Linked DNA regions of Rhinolophus ferrumequinum. The protein of the gene in region 2 interacts with the protein of the main gene of each other region in a pairwise test. Links are inferred from orthologs where the notes say so. Each region holds a gene or a part of one and is shown on either strand. Other genes may lie near its edges.

What was found.
Region 1: the proteins of CDK5RAP3 (region 2) and TSPYL4 interact in binary tests that used the Homo sapiens proteins (3 or more experiments, as listed by UniProt). The two-hybrid records come from large-scale screens. The link is inferred for Rhinolophus ferrumequinum from reciprocal best matches to the Homo sapiens genes CDK5RAP3 and TSPYL4.

Annotation. Positions count from the first base shown.
Region 1 is NC_046286.1:67,183,949-67,187,862, forward strand, and holds the start of TSPYL4 (testis-specific Y-encoded-like protein 4), read right to left. Parts: upstream 2,477-3,914; 5' UTR 2,387-2,476; coding exon 1,142-2,386; 3' UTR 1-1,141.
Region 2 is NC_046304.1:35,002,352-35,006,265, forward strand, and holds the start of CDK5RAP3 (CDK5 regulatory subunit-associated protein 3), read right to left. Parts: upstream 3,035-3,914; 5' UTR 2,902-3,034; coding exon 2,896-2,901; intron 2,667-2,895; coding exon 2,621-2,666; intron 888-2,620; coding exon 756-887; intron 477-755; coding exon 376-476; intron 36-375; coding exon 1-35. UniProt on the Homo sapiens protein: Substrate adapter of E3 ligase complexes mediating ufmylation, the covalent attachment of the ubiquitin-like modifier UFM1 to substrate proteins, and which is involved in various processes, such as ribosome recycling and reticulophagy (also called ER-phagy).

The DNA.
Region 1 (3,914 bases), on a different chromosome or scaffold from region 2:
ACAGCCCTGACAGCACTGCTGTCCCACCTTTTGTCTGTTTCTGAGCAGTAACTGCTTATGAGAGGAAGGAAGCAGGGCAGGGGGAGGAGGGAGGGGGAAACAAAGGCAAGGAGACTGGGGAAGGAGGGAGAGGAAGACAGACCAAAAATACATCTTCCTCGGTGCTCCTGGGTGGTTTATTGTCTAGGACTCAGAAAGGCTAACTGTTGGAAGGGACCCCCATTCCAGCCTTGCTTTAGGCACTGTCACAAGTGACTGCCCAACCATCCCAACAGTCAATTGGGTTTCTCGGTAATCATTTGGGAAGGGAGTAGTTCCTGTGCGCTGCCTGGGGGCTTAAGTCCAACGATAGTTCCTGAGGAGGGAGGCCATGGTGACTGTGCAAAGCTCATCCAAAAAGCTGAGAATAGGTTTGGGTGGGCCACAGCACAGGCTTTCATACTCACCAGTACCTGGTCACGATGTAGAGTGACCAAGGGCATTAAGGAGATCAACATGATAACAGAACACATCTGTTACCTCATTCATGCCTAGTAGCCACCCATCAGCCACCTGCTTATTCTGTCAAATAACCAGCAGGCTGGATGGCACAGGCTCAGGAAAGCAGCTGGGAACCAGTTAGTGATAGCTTGGAATGTCCAGTTTGGGTTGATGGCTGGCATCATCTGTATCAGCTTCATCTTACAGTGGTGACACTCAGAGAGCTCACCATAGAGTACAGGGTATGAGGAACAGAGCCAGCATCGTTATGAAGCCCAGGTAGTTATTTGCAAAGATATATATTAAGCTTCCTTGTGGTAAACACTCAAAAAACTGGGAAAAGACCATAGTCACAGAGAACGCCCAAGGCATGCAAAGGAAGTCAGTGCATATCTATGGCATGTGCTTGGCAGAGAAGCAGTGGGAGACCATGCACTTGGAACACGGAACACTTTGCAGAACAGCACCAAAGCCCAGAGGAAAAGGAGCATAGGCATGTAAGCAACAATCTTGACACTGATTGAAGATTTAGAAGAACCAAAGAACAAAACAATCCAGTGTGAAGAGAAAGCAGATGGAAAATTGCATGCTGTTGGCTAAGCACAGAATCCAAGAGGAGGTGGTAAGGAGACTTGTGCAGGAGCTTCTCACAGATCAGGAGTTAGCCAGACTGGAACCTGAAGGACCTGGGGCTCTCCACTGGCTGCCTTGCTGGGTCTCGAATTCCTCTGCGGGGCCCTTCACCCATCAGGTAATACTGTAGGGGGTTGGGCCACAGTTCTGCTTTGATAATCTCAGCAATCCTGTCGAATTCAAGGAGGCTGTGGTCTGAGAACCAGTTGAAGAAACTGGGGATGGTGTTCCCTTCCCGGTTCCTGTGGATATGGGCCTGGGGGTCTTGGCCCCGGTGCCAGCGGATTGGAGTGGAAAGAGACACCACCCGGCCAGAGGATCTGCGCTCATATTCCTTGACGAGCCCCTCATTTCGGAAGTAGGGGTTGCTCTGAAAGATGAACCTGAATTTGCAGCCTGCTCTAGGGTGTTTAAGCTCCTCAACTTCCAAGTTGATCATGTACCTCATCATGTCTTCATCTTGGCCACTGATCATAGGTGACAGCTGGGGATGGTTCCGAAAAGCAGTGACCCAGAAACCTGGGATATTCTGGATAATGAAACTTCTGCGCTGCATATGGAGCCTTCGCATCCGGCCAAACTTGCGCTCCAGTTGAAGGAAGGCCCTGTCGGCCTGGGCATTGACGTTTGACAGCTCCTGATCGATGGCCTCTAGCGAGTCCATGCAGTTATTGATCTTCGGGCCCCTGGCGCGTGTCTCCTCTTTCATTCCTCCTACCGCCTTTTTCTCCTTCTGAATCACCTTTTCTTCCACCCCCACTTCTGCTACTCCCTCCTTTTCTGCTGTCGCTGAGATGGCGCACTTTTTTGACGTCAATTCCTTGGCCTTTGCCCCAGACAGCAGCATCAGAGACCCTAAATGCCCTGCGCCACAGGCTTCTAGAGCTTTCTCTCCAGCAGAGCCGCTCGGCTCTCTAGGCTGACAGCCATTTTCCGGACTATTGTCTGTAGCCACCGAGGCGGAGGCAGAGGCTGCGTCCAGGCCCTCCGTGGGTGGCGGAGCCTCTTTCTGGCCCATTGTAGCCGTTGCACGGCTGCGACTCGCAGCAACTCGAATGCGGAGCACAGGGCCACAGCCCCAGTGGGCCCGAGATGCGCCTCCCTCCGCGGCAGTCTCCAAACTGCCCTCACCTGTGTCCGCCATCACCTGTGTCGCCTCGGTTTCCTCGCTCTGACGCTGGTTCAGGTCCGGATGTCCTGGAGCATGCTCAGGAGCAGCAAGGCCGCAGGTTTTAGCGACAGGAACGGTGTGGTCCCCATCCTTGCCGCTCATTTTGGTAGAAGTCAGACCTGCAGGATGAGAGAGCGATCCTTGTCCTCTGTAGAAGCCGTGCTCCGCCCCTCGCACCACCCTTCTTTTCCTCCCTGGGAGGATGCTGCCATGGCAACCGGTGACGTCAGGACAGCAGAGCCTTAATATCGGGCGAGAACTGCGCCTTGTGATTAAGCTCCTCAGTCAAGAGTATTCCTTTGTCTTTGTGTTACGAAATGTTTTGAATTTTGTCAGTCTGCAACAGGCTTGGTTTGTATACTTGGATGCAGACCAAACTCAAGCATGTTTGGTCTGCTTTGTGTTAATGTGGATTTCTAAGACTGAATTTCTAAGGCACCTAAGCTATTGTTAAAATATTTGCTTAAAAGGTGAGAAAGGTTACTTGTTTATTTAAACTCAGCTCAGTGGGCTTCTCATGTACAGTAAAGTGAATTCAGCAATTCACAGGCCTTCCTCCTTTAATGTACAGATTCATGGCTATTACCAAAAATTGAGATGAACAGAGTTTGGTTTTTAAGAAAAGTGAAGTATTGCTGTGTCAAGTGCGATCATTTAAAAATCAGGAGCAACTGAAAGGGAAACTTGTCTCATCCTAACAAGATATATAATAAAAGACCATTTCAATTTTTCTTACAGATTTTAAAGTTTATATACTTTGGCAAACACCTACAAAGCAACTGGACAATATTCCCTCTTCACTTTTAACTAATGTAAGAGGAAAAATGTATTTTCCCTACTAAGAGGTGACACACAGGAGCAAGTGTGCAAATTTAGTCTTTAAGCATTATAGGAAGAAATGTAATCTCAGGGGGTTTTAATTTCTAAAGTTATGCCTTTTATATGTTGCTTATCCTCAGGTTATAATCTTCATCTTAAAAACGTTCCTGCTTCATAATGCCCGTGGGCATGACACCAGCAAATATTTGCCAAAATTTGCTCCTGTGATAAGCCCTGAAGCTATTGTCTTAATTAAGATTACTTTAATATCAAAATATTTACTTAAAAAATAAGAAAAAGTTCCTGTCTATTCAAGTCAGTTAGCTCATACAGTTCATTAGACAGTGATGTCAGTACTATCTGCTGTTTTGTTAGCTTGTTGGAGTGTGAAAATACTGGTGTTTATCCTTTTAAAAAATGCAGGAAGGAAGGAAAACTAAGTTTGCTTATTTTTGTTTAATGTCTTAAGTTTATACTAGAAAATTATTATGATTGTAACTCTGTAATGTAAACTCCAATACAGAGCACCCCAGATTGTGATCCCTTTCAAATAAGGGCTCAGAAGAGGATTCAGGAAGAGGAAAGGACTTAGGGGAAAAGGATTTAGAGAAAAGCAGCAGGTATATTGAGATTTCTAGTGAGGGAAGTAGTGCTTACCTCGTCCAGCTAAGAATGAGGTACTAATGGAAAGGCACTGGCAGACATTACAGAGAAACTGCTTGTCATGCAGAGTCAGTTTAGCTCACAAAGATTTTCCAGAGAATTCATAAAAAATTAAGATTTTTTTGGTACCCCTAGTCAGCTACTCAAG
Region 2 (3,914 bases):
TCCTTCTCATACAGGGCTACAATCTCCTGCCAATCCTGAGGAAGAACAGAAACAGGAAGTGAGCCAGAACAGTGCTCCGCAGCCACATCCCAGCTCAGTCCTCAAACAGGAGAAACGCTTCCAGTCTTTGCATCACATCAAAAGCAAACTCCTCATCCTCCTTCGTGAGGTGGGCTGGACCACCCACTTGATTTTAAGAGTGTGGCGCCAATGAGAGATCCCCAAAGCAGCATGTCTGAAATGTAAACCCAGGAGAGGAGGTACTTTTGGAATAAACTATGGGACAGAGAGAAAGTTCGGGAAACATTCCATGTGGGCGTCCCTCAGAGAGCTCACAGAGGCTCTGATCCTGTCACCACCCTCGCCCACACTTGCCTTCATTCGCTGTGAAGAATACCGGCCAAAAATATTTTTTGTAGAAGCTTCAGTGCCCTTGAGAAGGTCCACAATTCTTAGGCAATGGAAGTAGTGAATATCTGGAAAGCAAGTGAGAGCAAAAACTGAGAATTCCAGTATTTTCCCCACTTACTCTGGCCAACGCACATGACTAACCCATGTATAGGCTAATAGTGTTAGCAGGCATAGCTCTTCCCTTCATCAGTCTGTGTTGGAAGAAACCAGCATTTATATATACCCCAAACAAAAATCTTTCTCTAGGGATCAGCCTTGTGGCTAAACAACAGGGGAGCAGCTCAGCTGACATATATTGCTCCAGGAAAGAAGGGGCTCCAGGAAGGCAGCCCCAGAGCACTCACAGGATCCAGAGAGCAGCTGGGCGATCTCTTCACTTTCGGGCATGTCCTGGATGGCAGCATTGATCTTCTCGCGAATCGTCAACACCAGACTCTGCCATTTCAGGTTACAATGCCTTCTGTCCACCAGCCAGTCTGTGTGAGAAACACCCAAATCACAGCGTTCCCATTCATATGGCCAAAATTCCATTACTAATTCAAGTAAAATACGCTAAGACATTGGCTGAAATATGTACTCAGATTGGTTAAGGTGTGGGGGTCGTGGGAAGCTGGGAATAAAGACAGGTCCAAAAGGATGCTTGGGGCTAAACAGACTCTGACAACCTACTTAGCAGAGCAATTGCCTCTACACAGAGATAAAGAAAAATTTTAAACTGGCCTTGACATCAAAGCACCACTTTTGACCGCTCTGAATTCTCCATAATCTTTTTGCTTCCATGGGTAATTATATCTTTCTTACTGACAGAGGATGCTGTTCTACTTCCACTTCCTCAGGGCTGGGATTAACCACGACAATGGAAAATACAAGATGGTATGCCAAGTACTGGATGAATGAACAACTGCAAAGCCTCTAATACCTACAGCACCCTAAGGACTAGATAATACTGGTCTATTCTTACCAGTGAAGTACGACCCTGCACACGTGAACACCAATGTGACTGACTTCCTGGAGTCTGGGCCCAGATTTGTTTTTTGCAGAGGGTGTAGGTAACTGAGGGCCGTGCATGTTTCCTCAGTAGGAGAGAGATAAGAGCTAGGTTTTGTGGTCAAATGGTCCTGGTTTCTAATTATCAACTTTCTTGGGCAAGGCTCTCATGTGCCCCAAATGTAAAATGGGGGTAGTAAGATACTGAGTACAAGAGGGAATGCAGGTAAAACACAGCACTGCGCATGGAACATGGCAAGGACTCAATAAATCTTAGTAATCTTTATTTTTATAACATCAAGTGCCTAAAACAGCACCTGATATAGAGCAAACCCTCAATGAATAGTTATTGTTTTATTGGTCCCTTTCATGACCAATGACAAGCTAATATACCAAGAATGCATATGTGCTGAAGAGCTGAGACAAATCTGAAATGAAGCTAAAGAAGCTCCACTGAGTAGCCACTGCACAGGACTAACTAAATGGCCCACAATAGTGAATTCAGAACCTTGCCCTTGTTAATAAATCTGCCAACTGGTCAAACACTGGGGTCCCACACCAGTTATCATTATACTCCCTCTGCTGTATTCCTTTAAAGTGTTCAGAAAGAAAAATTCTGTGGCTGTCATGGAACTAGAAGCAAAGGGATGAGGTAGTCTAACAGATGTCATCTTAACGACAAAACTGGCATCAAGTCGATTAATACAATGAGCACTTTAAAACTCAGGAGCTGTGTACTTGCCCCAAAGGGGTCAGAATGAAGAAGTCCTTTCCTGGCCCTGAACTGGGGAGGAGGTATGTAGATCAAACAGCAGGGAGATGGCCGGGCTACTTAATGGTCTTTATTTCTAACTGGGTCTGTGTCCCTTTTTCTCCTACTAAAGTCAAGAAGAGATGGAAGCTTTTAAAAAGAAAGGAGGGAGAGTTCTTTTCTGGCATAATACAAAAAGCATAGACATTAGAGAATAATTTCAGATCTGCCACTCAGTAGATGATCGTTTTTAAGGTAAGCTATTATAACCTTCTCTAAATGAATATGATCTGACAACACGTTATAAATGTTAAAGAAGAAAACGCGGGTGAAGTACAGATTCCATGTATAGTTCCTTCCCGCTCCTCAACAGAGGCCTTGGGGCATCAGGGCTCCCAGCTGTTGGTGACAGAGGGCAAAGGGCCGGGCCTCCCCCTGACAGCAAGGCGGCGCGGGAGCGCCCCTTCCTACCGATCAGCTTGCTGGTCTGGATGTCGATGGGCACGTGCTGATGGTCCTGGCGGGAAACACGACAGAAATCGGGGAGTGAACGCGGGGAGGGGGCGTGCCACTCGCGCGCTCATTTCACCCGCACAACCGCCACCCCGCGGGGCCAGAACGACGAGTCGGGGAGGGCTGCGCCTGCCCGGGAGGGAGGCCGAGGAAGTGGATCAGGGGAGGACGGGCTGAACCCAATCCAGGGGTCCCGGACCAGCCCCCCATTTCCCCAGCTCCTATTCCCCCACCTGCATCTTTCCTCTACTTCCTTTTTCCGGCCGACGACCCAGGCCCGCCCCGCCTACTACCAATCCAGCACTAGCGTGGCGGAGCCTCAGTTTAGGTACAAACCGGCCTCCTCCGGCCACGTAGCTGCTTTCCTCAGAGCCAATCAGGCCGCGCGCTCCACCCCTGGCCTCAAGCCCCACCACCCCCGGGCTCCGAATGGCTGAGCCCGGGAGGGGCGGGAGAACAGCAGACAGCCAATGGGAGATGTGAGGCGGGCTCAGGGCCGGCGAGGGGCGGGGCGCCAGGAAAGGGCTGCAGCGGCGGCACGATCGAGGCAGGCGGCGCCGGAGAGCCGATTCCAGCCGCGCGGGGCTTTCAGCGCACGGATTAGCGCGTTTGCTGGCAGGGTACTAGCGCCTATCTGTGTGAACCTGGAGGCCATTAGAAATGCCCTCTTCCCGCTTTATCTTGCTCTACCGTCTCTCGTAGTTTGTGGGTTTCTTGTGGCACTTGTCATTCCGTTTATCTAACAGACAAGTATTGAGCACCTCCTGCGTGCTGGGTGATTAGGAAGGGAAGGGGAGGGAGGAGGGTCAAAAGAGGCATCACAGCATAACATGTAAATTGAGTCTTAAAGGAAGAGCTGCAGGAAGAGGGGTAATGTGTGGAGGGGTGTTCCGGGTGGAGGAGACTGTACAGACAAAGCTTTGGAGGCCACAAACTGCAAGAGGGGTGCAGGGAGCAACAGACTGGCAACTTAATTGGTGCAGTTCAGTGCAAAATGAAAATGTGGGGCCCCTTGTTAAAAAATATGAAGAAGGGGCCAGCCCGGTGGCTCAGGCGGTTGGAGCTCCATGCTCCTAACTCGAAGGCAGGCAGTTCGATTCCCACATGGGCCAGTGGGCTCTCAACCACAAGGTTGCCGGTTCAACTCCTCAGTTCAACTCCTCGAGTCCTGCAAGGGATGGTGGGCTGCGCCCCCTGCAACTAGAAAACGGCAACTGGACCTGGAGCTGAGCTGTGCCCTCCACAACTAAGA